Cricetulus griseus: one gene and its partner. The protein of the gene in region 1 interacts with the protein of each later gene in a pairwise test. Links are inferred from orthologs where the notes say so. Each region holds a gene or a part of one and is shown on either strand. Other genes may lie near its edges.

Region 1 (6,041 bases):
AATTTTTTTTTGCATTTTAGAGAGTAATAACAATTTACATTTTAATCTGCAGGGATCAAAAGATGGCATTATAGCCGGGCGTTGGTGGCACTTGCCTTTAATCCCAACACTTGGGAGGCAGAGGCAGGCGGATCTCTGTGAGTTCCAGGCCAGCCTGGTCTCCAGAGTGAATGCCAGGATAGGCTCCAAAGCTACACAGAGAAACTGTCTCAAAAATCCAAACAAACAAACAAACAACAACAACATTATTTGAAGAATTGCAGTTTCATTGTTTTAGTATTTTATATTTAAGTAAAAAACTCAATTTATCTGAAATATACCAGTTTCTGTAAGTATGATGATAATACATATCAGACAAACCGGCAAGCAGATACTTGCTTTTCATTAGCCTTTCATTATAATGCTTACAAAACCAGTACCCCTTAGTTACCACACAAGCGTGAAGATGAGAGTTGGGGTCCCCAACATCCATGTATGTGCTGGGTAGGATGACATTCCATCTGTAATTTCAGCACTGGAAAGGCAAAGACTGGATGTTCAGAGTAAGCTGGCTAATTAGATTAAATCTACCGACAAGCTCTGAGTTTAGGAGAGAGAGAGAGAGAGAGAGAGAGAGAGAGAGAGAGAGAGAGAGAGAGAGAGACATCAATCAAGGAAGATTCCTGACAGTAAACCTCTGGCCTCTACTCTTGTCATGCACACATGTGCTAGCATACACAAATACATGCACATGCACACACACACACACACACACACACACATAACAAATACATACCTGTGAGAAAAAAAGAAAAAAAGCTCCCAGAGTTCTTAAAATTTCAAAGTAAAGCAAGATCACAGTTTTATAATGTGAAGATAAATGACCAGGCAGTGATCAGTTGCAAATTTGTCCTATCAGTTTTTGCTGATTTCCTTTAATCTTGGGTTCCAAGCTAAAGCAAGAAAATGTCAATGCAAAAAAAAAATGTAAAATCATTGTTCCTTAATTCAGAATTAAGTGTTAACATTAAAAACATGTCTCAAAATCCACATGTAGCAGGCAAGCATGTGACACTCCTGCAATTGCATTGCTCAAGGGAGACTCCGAATCTTAAGTCATCTTGGGCTAAATTACTGAGACCCTGTCTTAATCAAAACAAAAACAAACAAACAAACAAACAAGCAAAACTAGTCCTGGCTGAGTCTATAGAGTTTTAGCTCATTTTATTTTGAACTGCATTGGTATTGATTTATTATTTTTCTAAGGACAACTTCATGATTTGGTAATACTATTATGTCCTGGATTTTCCAGGCCACTTCAGATTTTGAATAATCTGTTTAATGTCAAATGACTTCAGTTTGTAAAATATGGTCACTGAATTTATAAAGTAACTGAAATAATGGCCCTTAGCAGTATGCAGCAATTCTATTTCTGGGCCATGATTGTCAAGTTAAATCAAATAAAAGTTAAGTCCAGCCTGTGAATCGACCTAATAAATGGCTATCTTAGGATAATGAGACCACTTTAAAACTGTATGATTTTAAAAACACGATTTTCACGTATATAGCTATAAAATTATGGATGGTTAATCATCCTTGCCATATAGAAAATGTAAATGTACTTGAGAGTTATTGTGGTTACAAGACTCAAAAACATGTTAATGTATGTTTGTGAATTAAAAGGATTGGGTGACAGACCTTTGCATCCAGACTGTAATTGATATTCTTGGTAGGTCAGAACTGAAGGGATTCATTAGCATTTGCGATGCTGCAGAACGATAATTATCTGAGGGATCTAAGTTTTACTTTAATGAATTTGACTCATTATGCCATGCCGAACCATGCTTATGTTGTGAACCGCAACATTTAGAATCCCCCTCTGCCTTAATTTAATTTAACGTTTGTAAGAGGTTTGTTCTTAACTCCACTTAAAAAAAAAAAAAAGTCCATGCCATGGAGGGAGGGGGAGTTTAAAAGTTATCTATGTTCAGAATGGTATTCAGGACTCCTAAAATTAACGGTGATTTCCCCCAAGTCTACCAGTAGTGATCACTCTCCCTCCCACGTTTCTCTGCAGGTTGGAATGTTAGCAGCCCAGGGATGCTGCTGCAAACCCAGTGGGAGAGGGAGACAGGACATTACCGGCGACACTTCGGCACTGTTGCTAAGAGTGATTCACTCGCGTTTGGCACATTTGTGTCAAGGAAACCTCCTCCTGCCGCTTCCTTCTCCAAGCTCTCCTCCGACTGTCTCAGGCGCTTTGGCCTTTAAGAAGCGAGAGCAGGTGGGCACACAGCAGCTGGCCCAGCCCTCCTCCCCCCTGCTCTTTCCCTAATTTAGCAGTACTTCCGGCCGCGTGACATCATCCCCCGCACAGGGTGACGTGAGCGGAGGGTGACGTGTGTGCGGAGAGGAGCGCGCTGACGTTGCTATTTAAAGGTCCTCCTGCGGGGAGGATGGAGACACAGCGCGAGAACCCGGAGTGCGGAGCGGAGGAGGCTGTGGCTGCCCGGAGTCAGCGCTGGAGTCGAGCGCTTCGCCCATCCGCCGCCGCCGACCGCTAGGGTTGGGGAAGGAAAAAGGGACGGACCGAAGGACCAGCCGGCTAATCCCCTCCGGGCTGGTCCCTCACCTCCCAGCTCCGAGCCTGGGCCCCGCCTCCGCCGCGCCCCACCTCCTCCGCCGGCCTGCGGCGGCGGCGGCGCTCCGCCCCTCGAGCCGGGAGGGCCGCGCTCTTCGCCCCGCCCCGCCCGCCCCCCTCCCCTCTCCGCTCGTGCGCTCGCCTCACGCCGGCGGCGCGGACCGGGCAGCGGCGCCGTCAGCTGCGCTCGTTTCGGAGCCGCTCTGTGGTGGCAGAGGAGGCAGCGACGGGTGCCAGGCCGCCCGGGGCCGGCGGAGGCTGCCGCTGAGGGGAGTGTGAGGAGGCAGCGGCGGCCCGGGGCATGTGAGGCGGCACGGAGCGGGAGAGACGAGCCGGGGTGGGGGTACGAGCCGCGGCTGCTGTGCCTCGGACGAGCCGCGTGCCACTCGCCTCAGCGCGCGGCCGCTAGGAGCTGGGGGCTGGGTGCCGGGGACCGCGCGGGGCTGGGTTCTCTCTGATTCATTCATTCTCCGCTGCCTGGAGCCCGAGGCCGCCGGTGCTGCGAGGAGAGGCGGGAAGAGGGGGCGGCTGTGAGCGGGGCTCCATTGTGCTCGGCGGGGGCCGGGAAGCTGAGGGAGGTGGGCTTGGGCCCCCTGCGCTGCTCCCCGGCGGCCGCTGCGCCCCCAGCTAGCCGCCAGCCTGGAAATGGCTCCGCTGATGCTCCTCGAGAGAACGAATCGATCCTTCCCAGCCTTTTCTGCTTGCTCTCCACCGCCTCTCCGCTCCGAGTCTTAGGAGGACGAACATTCAAAGGACAGATTCCGATGTGGTGTGCTGTGCACATCGCGAGCGGCCGCGGTTTGCACTTGAGATTTTTTTCTTTATAATTTTTTTTTTAAGTGTAAGCGAAGGCAGACAGTGGCATTGCTGCCTGTAGGATTTTTATTAAAGTGCACGTCGCGTTGGGTTGCACGCTCCACCCCTAGGGACCTGGTGTGGTGAAATTTGAACCCACCGCCTTAGCCCAGAGAAGGCCGAGTTACCTGGCTCCCTGGAGTGTCGAGAGGACGTGAGCGAAATGACCAGCGAACTCGTTTTTTATAAGACTCGGTGAAGCTGGGTTTTGCGTTTACCTACATGTACACTGATTTTATGGAATAGTTGAGTGCTATATTCTCCGCGCAACCTTTTCAAATTCCAAATAAGCAAATGTTTGAACGCTTTGGTATCAGCGCGAGTGAATTCCTTTTACCGACAAGAACTAACTGAATTGTCAGCATCGTTGAATTACCTCCGGAAAAGATCTCGGGGGTGGAAAAGCAGCTGCAAAATAACAGACGGAGAAAATTCCTTGGAAGTTATTTCTGTAGCATAAGAGCAGAAACTTCAGAGCAAGTTTTCATTGGGCAAAATGGGGTAAGGATTTTGTGCTTACCACAGCTTTAAATCTGTTTGTGTGTGTGTGCAGTCTTGCGGTGGTGGTGACTGTTTATAATTCTACCCCTTGCTAAACGAGTACTACTTTAAAATAGAGATTATATTTGTATTATTGTAGAGCGACGCCAGAGGTCCTAATTAGAACGTGTAATGTTGTTTGTAACTCAGTTATAGTCTTATTAATGACATGTATGAAGACAATGCATTAAGTCTACCCTGTACCTCTTAATTGATGAAGCCGCTGTATAGGTTACCAAAATCTTGCCATCTTAGGTTTGGTTGACCGGTAACGTTCAAAGAGAAGGGCTGCATTCTTCCAGTACTTTGTAGAAACAATCAGTTGCACAAAGGGACGATTGTAATGACTAGTTAGACTACAGTCCTTGAAACTGATCCCTTGTAAGTTGTCGCCCTCACTGTGCCCTGTGTTTTATCCTTGAACATCCGAAGCTAACTGCACAGCATTGGGTTTATTGGGCATTAAAACGAGAATCTCAGTTTCTCACTGTTGCGGTCTCCACAGTGTGGTTGCTAAAGCGAGAAAGCTTTTGGTTGAAGGAACGTGTTCACTTTTTCTGATTTTCTCTTTTAAGCTTAGACTTTTAGCTGTGTCAGCAGTGTCAGATTTACATCTTCGACATAAGCCAGCCAAGAGTGCATTTCCCAAACTTTTAATTCTAATGTTAGGAGCTCTTCTTTATTTAAGCTGGAAACCCGTGTTATGGGAGTGGCGATCTGTTCATTTCTTCAGTGGATGGTCGATGCTGTCTCTGCATTCTTCCTGTGGTCGAATTAACAGCGGTAAATATATAGTTGAGGGACAAAGTTTGAAATAATGGATTTTGAAATTCTTTGTGATGGTTTATTAGCAGCACACAGTTTTCTTTAAAGTTCGAGAGTAGTTTCTTTTTGTTCTGGCAGTTAAAATTTGAAGTTTATTAGCATATACAACTTTGAAAATGTAGAGCACGTGTCACAGGAGTCCTTCCTCAGAAATTAATTACGAGTTGATAATTATGTTTAATACTTAAATGACCAGGATATAAATGTAATTAAAATACCTTCTATTTCTGGTGCTGCTAGTAGCTTGGTGACCTGCAAATCATTTAACCTTTATGAACTGTATTCTTACCTGTAAAATAAGGAATTTAGAAGTTTTCCAGCCTGTAAAAATGAATTTTTTTTCCCTCCTTCCCTCATTTAATAGTCAGTAGCTGGCTTTTTTCTTCTAAACACTAGGAAATAATGGTGTTTGAAAATATTTTGAATCAGTTGCATCAATTTTTAAATGAGAAAATACTAAAAAATATTAATATTGTAAACCTTTGAAATATGGCTTCCCGTAATTTTATGCAGCTCCACAGTTTAAAATGCATTGTTTAAGGCTTGTTGGAGTGTCACGTGTACTCGAACCTACACACAAAATCAAGTGGCAGTTTTTTATTGAGAAGATTGCATTCTCCAGACTGGAGTGGTAACATAGAAGAGAACCAGTTTTCTGTGTCTCTTATATTACATGAATGTCCACTGTTTTACCAAGTGAAGAGTGAGATTAACTTAATACTAAAGGAGACTATCCTTTGAAATGTGAATCTAAGCTACTTACATGAAACACATTTAGACACTTAGCATAATTTGTTTATAAACAACTCACTAGCCTTTTTGCTAAAAATATTTTAAGAGGCTGGAGCGATGGCTCAGGGGTGAAGAGCAGTTGTTGCTCTTTCAGAGGACCTAGTTTCAATTCCCAGCACCCACATGGTGGTTCACAACCCTCTGTAACTCCAGTTCCCAGGGATCTGATACCCTTTTCTGACCACCACAGGCGCCAGGATTGCAAGTGGTGCACATACATATATGCAGGCAAAACACTGATAATGCACAGAAATTAAAAATTGAAAAATAAATAAAAGTTTTAAAATGACATATAAAATAAGGCTGTAATAGAGTGGAGACTGGTGAGTACTATGATTTGAATTTACCCCTTTAAAATTCAGGTGCCAAAACTTCATGGCCAATGCGATGGTAGCTGAGTATTGAGAGA
Region 2 (5,863 bases), on another chromosome or scaffold:
GCTCACAAATGCTAATCTAAACAAACATTCTGCAAAGTCTCCTGAGCCACTTGCTCTATGAGAAATAAAATACTATGGAAAAGCTTACAGTGGTGGGCCAAGAAGAGCCTCCATCCACGTAACTCACCCAATAGACTTATTCAGACAGCATTGCTTTTTTTAATTGAGTTAGCTCTTTGACAGTTTCATACATGTGTATAATTTATTCCGGTGGCTGTCTCCCACATCCTTCCTCCCTGTCCTCCTGCCCCATCACCCTTTCTTCCTCCATACCTGTCCCTTTCCCTCTCTCCCAGATTCATGACTTGGAACTTTGCTGTGTGGCCCATTTAGTTTATCTAGGGCCATCTTTGTGACCAGTGGTGGGATCACCAGGGTATACATGGAATTCACTCTCTCCTTTCCCTGAATCTATCCCTAGGAAATAGTTCAGCAGTGAGGGGTAGGGCGCCCTGAGTCCCTCCTCCATCCTTGCTTGGTTGTTGGTGGGCCCATTCTTGTGCAGACCCAGGGCAGTCTTCAGAAGTTGTTGAGAGGTCATGATTACATGGATATGCTATGCCTAGATGGTGACATCACACACACACACACACACACACACACACACACACACACACACACTCACACACTCACACGCCTGTGTGCTGCATTTCTGACTCTTTCAGTCTTTCTACCCACTCTTCCACAATATTCCCAGAGCCTTGGTGGGGACAGTATGAATGCCTTGTTTAGGACTGAGCACCCAACTGTTGCCTACACTTAGCACTATGTGCAGACATGTTTCTGCACATAGCAGTTTTGAGTGCTTCTGCAGAATGTTAGGAATTGACTCTGTACCTGGATAATCACTAAAGAAATGCAAAGCTAGGATGGCTAAACTCAGTCTACAAGGGTTCTTGAGTGTCTGTTTCTTTGAGTTTGGGATGTTGAGGAACTGACCTGGTGGAGAAATCCCAGAGCTACCCCACCCACCATTGATTAGCATGGGGCTTCTTTGTTGTCCCTTCTCTTTTGGGCCCCACTCATCTCCTAAGAGGCTGTGAATCCTATGTGTCTGACTCGGGATCCTGTCTTTTTCTCTCCCAAGCATCTTGCCCCATTTATGGGTCTCTCCTAAGCAAAGGAGTAGCCTTGTGAGGCCTTGCCTGACTCTTGCCAGCATGACCAGGTTGGAAGACCTAACTGAACCCAAAGCTGACATTGGCACTGCAGCAACTATTGGCAGAGGAATATGTACCCTGGCACCTAAGCCCCAAGTCCCCAGATCTCCAATAAAACATTCTGTCCCAGGACAATTTACCTTCTATTAGGAGAGTAGCAGAAATGATTAAAACATAGTATAGTGTTACAAGCAAAATATGAATCTGAGTCATATAAAATTTATTGTAATTCTAGCTCTCCCTTAACTTTCTGTTTAAAAATCTTTCAGATTTTCATTTTCCATAAAAAGAGTTACTCTTGCCCTGCCCTGGTCTGGTGGGCTATTTCCCACAAACAGATGTGAAAGAAAGAAACCCTTAGGAAGTTTAGTGGCAGCGACGAGGTGGCTTTTTGTTTGTGTTTGGTTTTTGCTATTGCTGTTGCCACAATGAACTTGGACTATTTCTCCCCATAGAAGCTGGGTTTAGAGAGGATCTACACTGGACATTTTTTCTCCTTCATTTGACGTAGTCCAGGGAACTTCACTGCGAATGCATAAATGGCAGAATGCAAGTGTTAACGTGAGGGAAATGGGACTGCTCTCAACCATTGCAGGTGCCCTGTTCATATGGCCGAGGGCAGAAAGATGACAAGTCAGCCTTCTTGGTGGCAGTGTCATATTTATGATATTATTAACAGTGATTGCAACTGACATTATTGGGCATATACTGTACTACATAGGCTATTCCATTTTTCTATTCTCATAATGACTAAGAAGTACATTATTAAGGGCCCTGTTCCTTCTCTCAAGCCTGTAATACCCCATTTAGACAGAACCCTTCTCTCCAAAACTCTTGTTCCCAGTGCTTGGGTTTAATTTGATCTGAGGTGGATTTTTATAAGAACAATAGTATCTGCTACCAACAGAGCTGTGTGTCCTAACTAGCCTCTCATTTAATCCTTGCATTAATCATATTTAACAAGTAATTCATCTAAATGCAAATCACTAAGTGGTTCAACTGGGTTTTGAGCCCAGAACCCAAGCCCTCAACCTTGTAATAGGTATTGGTTTTTATAATGAAATTACAATTCAAACTCCTTGCTTCATAAAAGAAAAAATAAAAAGCAGCTAAGAGGAAGACCAGAACCTCTTTTCTGACTAGCCTGCATCTCTGCTCCCTGAATCCATCTTCCTGAATGCATTTGAGCTAGCTTATGTGTCCCTCCATGCAGACTGAGGGTGGAGTTCAGACATGACCGGTCCATGGCTCCCTTCCAACTCTGTGCTTGCTTGGTATCTTGCTGCCATGAAACCCCAGGGCCTGAGCAGTGCTTTGTAGAAGCCTCTGCTCACACGTGGCTTTGATTGTTCTCTTTTCAGGCCCAGCTTGGGACATTCTTCACTTCCATTCACTTCCCCTCTGGGAGCCCCTTTCACCACCCCTGCGCCTTGCTTCAGGCGATGCCCAAGAGGGAGCTTTGGCCAGCAGGGCCTTGCTCAGAACTTGTGACCCACATCGGCAGCTGTGACAGCATGATGAGCACCACCTCCACCCACTCTGGATCTGTATGTACTCTCTCCCTCTTGCAGCCTGGCCTGCTCTGCATACCTGCCCCACCCCACCTCGCCCTGCCCTGCTGTGCCGCCCACCGTCATTCTCTGCACCTTCTCTTTCATCTTCTTCACCAGGGACTGAATCACTGGATTCTTGCTGCTTCTGAGTCAGCTCTGGTTCTATAGAGAATTGGGTGGGACAACCTCAGAGAGCAATAGGATCAATACCCAACCACCCACGTTTTCATTAGATTAAAGGGCTTAGGTGGGGAAAGGAGCAGGCGCTTAGGTCGTGGTGGAAACTGGAAGGTAGATTTCTATCGAACATGAACTCTTAGAATCCTCTGCAATGAGGATAGCACGGCTTCCATTTTCCACAAAAAGCGAAGGAAATGGAGTAGTTGGGAGCCTTATGGAGCTGAACGAATCCAGATTCCCTCCTCAGAAGCCAGACTACCTTGGGCATATCACCGATTTCTCTATGCTTCAGTCTCCTCGGTTTGGGGTTGTTTGTTTGTTTGTGGTTGAGACCCTGGCTTGTGGTCTCACTGTGTTACCCTGGCTAGGCTGGCATTCGCTATTTCAACCAGGCTGGCCTTGAACAGAGAACCACCTGCCTCTGACTCCCAAGTTCTGGAATTGAAGGTGTGCACCACCATGCTGAGCTAGTCTCAGTTTTAAAATGGGGAAAATGTCAACACCTAATCATAATGGCTCTTGGAGGGAGTAATAAGTTGTGCTTGTTGCATGACTTTTCCTGGGGAGGCTTGACAGAACACAGGCAGACCAGAGATTGTTCCTAATATGGAGACTTACTTACAGGAGCATTGGTGACACTGAGCATGGGTGACAGCTTAAAACCTACATCCCCGTAGCTCCCTGTAACCAACTAACTTACAGATAGTCTCCCTTCCCCTCTCTCAATCTCTCAATATCTCTCTCTCCATCTCTGCCTGCATCTCTGTCTGCAAATGTCTACTGCCTACGAAACCATGTGAATATTGGAGCTTTCTGAACTCCCTAAGCAGTCTAAGTTTGTCAGTCATCTTTCATAAGCTTCCCCAAAGGGAGTGTCTGGGGTTAGAGGACAGCTAAGCAGCATTAAATAGCATTTAGAAAGCTAGGGCTAGGGTGCTGCCCAGCAGTAAACTGATTACCTAGTGTGGACAAGCCCTGGGTTCTATCCCCACTGCCTCATAAAATAAGAGAAAATAAAAGCTATTCTTTCAGAGTATATTGACACACACCAAGTCTCAACACCTGGAAAGCTAAGATAGAGAGTTCATGTTCTCCACCAGCTTGTGCTATATTGTAAAGCTTTGTCTAAACAAAAAAGGTTTATGAAATGGCTCAGAAGATAGAGGTAGAGTTTCTAGTGTCAGAATTCACAGGGCACAAAGAAGAAACTGACTCTTGCATGTTTCCTACTGACCTCTATACACTCAGTAGAACACACATGCCCACAAACACACACATGCAAAAGAAATAAACATTTAACATAATAAGATAAATAAAGCACTTACCATTTACCTCTATTCAGAAAATAAATGGCCCTCTATGGACAGAGATAGAACCATCCACAATCACAATGCTTAGCTGTTTGTGAGGGCATGTAATAAGCTGTTTTTTTTTCTGGACATGATTTTAAATTCTAAGTGTTATAAGGTTAGGGTGAAGGAGTAAATATGCCTTCCATTCAAATGTAAGAATTCCTTTGCTGTTTATCATTGTAACAAAGGGTTTGAACTTTATTGTCCTAAAAAGTTTGTGAGAATTTAGACTGTGGCTGGAGACACAGCTCAGGGGAAGTGTTTGCCCTGCAAGCACTAAGACCTGGGTTAGATCCCCAAAAACCACAAAAAAACACAGTGAATACGAGGTGGAGAGAGGTGAATCAAGAATTCCAGGCTATCCTCAGCAAATTTAGGACTAGCATAGGCTACATGAGACCATCTCAAAGAAAAGGAAAGAAGAAGCTGGGTAGCAGCAGTGCACACCTTTAATCCCAGCACTCATGAGGCAGAGGTAGATGGATCTCTGAGTTTGAGTCCAGCCTGGTCTAAAGAGTGATTTCCAGGACAGCCAGGGATTACACAGAAAACCCCTGTTTTAAAAAAAAAACAAAAGGGGGGGGGATCAAAGAAAAAAAAAGGATTATAAAACGTTTCTAACAAATGTTAGTATTTACTCTATTTAGTGGGTTGGTTGGTTGGTTGGTCGGTTGATTTGGAGACAGAGTCATGCTGGAACTCAGTAGTGAGCCCACCTACCTGGATGGCTAGTTAATAAGTTTCATTATAAAAAAGGTAGAGCAGAAAAGGCAAAGTGCTTCAAGTATATGCAAATTTTCCTTTTGACATGAGAGGCTGGGAACACAAAGATGGCATCCTATTTCTGACTGGTAGAAACCAGCATGAATAGTCACATTCCATCGGATAATCTATAAAGGAAAAATCCAGAAGGCAGTGATGAAGACCTTTATTCAAGTAACTCCAAGAGCTGTGTGGGGGACTCTCCCTTGTTATGCAGGCCCAGTCAACTGACAGGTGACTTTAAGGGCAGGCAAGACTGGGGCTGGGGCCGGGGTATTTAACAGCCTCTTTGCCACTCTCCAAGTTATTTCTAGGACTATCTGGCAACCTTCCCCAGCAATCTTGGTGAGTCTAGACAGTAACCAGAAGAGGAGTGGAAGCTCAGACCAAGTGTCACATATCCCCATAGTTGCTTGTGGTTTTTACCTAGCTGCTGGTGGCACTGGCCTGCCAGGTGGCTGCTGAGAGGTGGCAAAAGTTCTTTGCAACGTTAAAGGAGATACAGCTGAGTTTTAGCCCATACATGTTGTTGCCCATACAATTCACAATTAGATGGCAGACAAACTGGTAGAGATATTGTGTAAGATCACGTGGAACTGGAATGAAAACCTGGGCTGCTTCCGGTCTGGGCCACTTCTTCCTGCTGAGGACTAAGCAATAGGAAGTCCCCTTGCCACCTGCCTACCTAGCCTTCAGAACTGGGTCCTGGCAGGCTTTAGCCTGCCAATCCTCCTTGGGCCTACTGTTGCAGAAAGCAGCTTCACTGGTTGGCAGAGCAGAACCAGGGCAAGTTTGCCAGCTTTGTAGTATTCTTTGCCTGTAGCAGGCTGAGTCTCGGGCCCCACACCTCACAATT

The links. The genes of interacting proteins can lie anywhere in the genome.
Region 2: the proteins of Homer1 (region 1) and CUNH1orf116 interact in binary tests that used the Homo sapiens proteins (3 or more experiments, as listed by UniProt). The link is inferred for Cricetulus griseus from reciprocal best matches to the Homo sapiens genes HOMER1 and C1orf116.

What each region holds. Positions count from the first base shown.
Region 1 is NC_048595.1:312,036,857-312,042,897, forward strand, and holds the start of Homer1 (homer protein homolog 1), read left to right. Parts: upstream 1-2,741; 5' UTR 2,742-3,971; coding exon 3,972-3,976; intron 3,977-6,041. UniProt on the Homo sapiens protein: Postsynaptic density scaffolding protein. Binds and cross-links cytoplasmic regions of GRM1, GRM5, ITPR1, DNM3, RYR1, RYR2, SHANK1 and SHANK3.
Region 2 is NC_048598.1:58,300,761-58,306,623, reverse strand, and holds the start of CUNH1orf116 (specifically androgen-regulated gene protein), read left to right. Parts: upstream 1-2,161; 5' UTR 2,162-2,602; coding exon 2,603-2,707; intron 2,708-5,863. UniProt on the Homo sapiens protein: Putative androgen-specific receptor.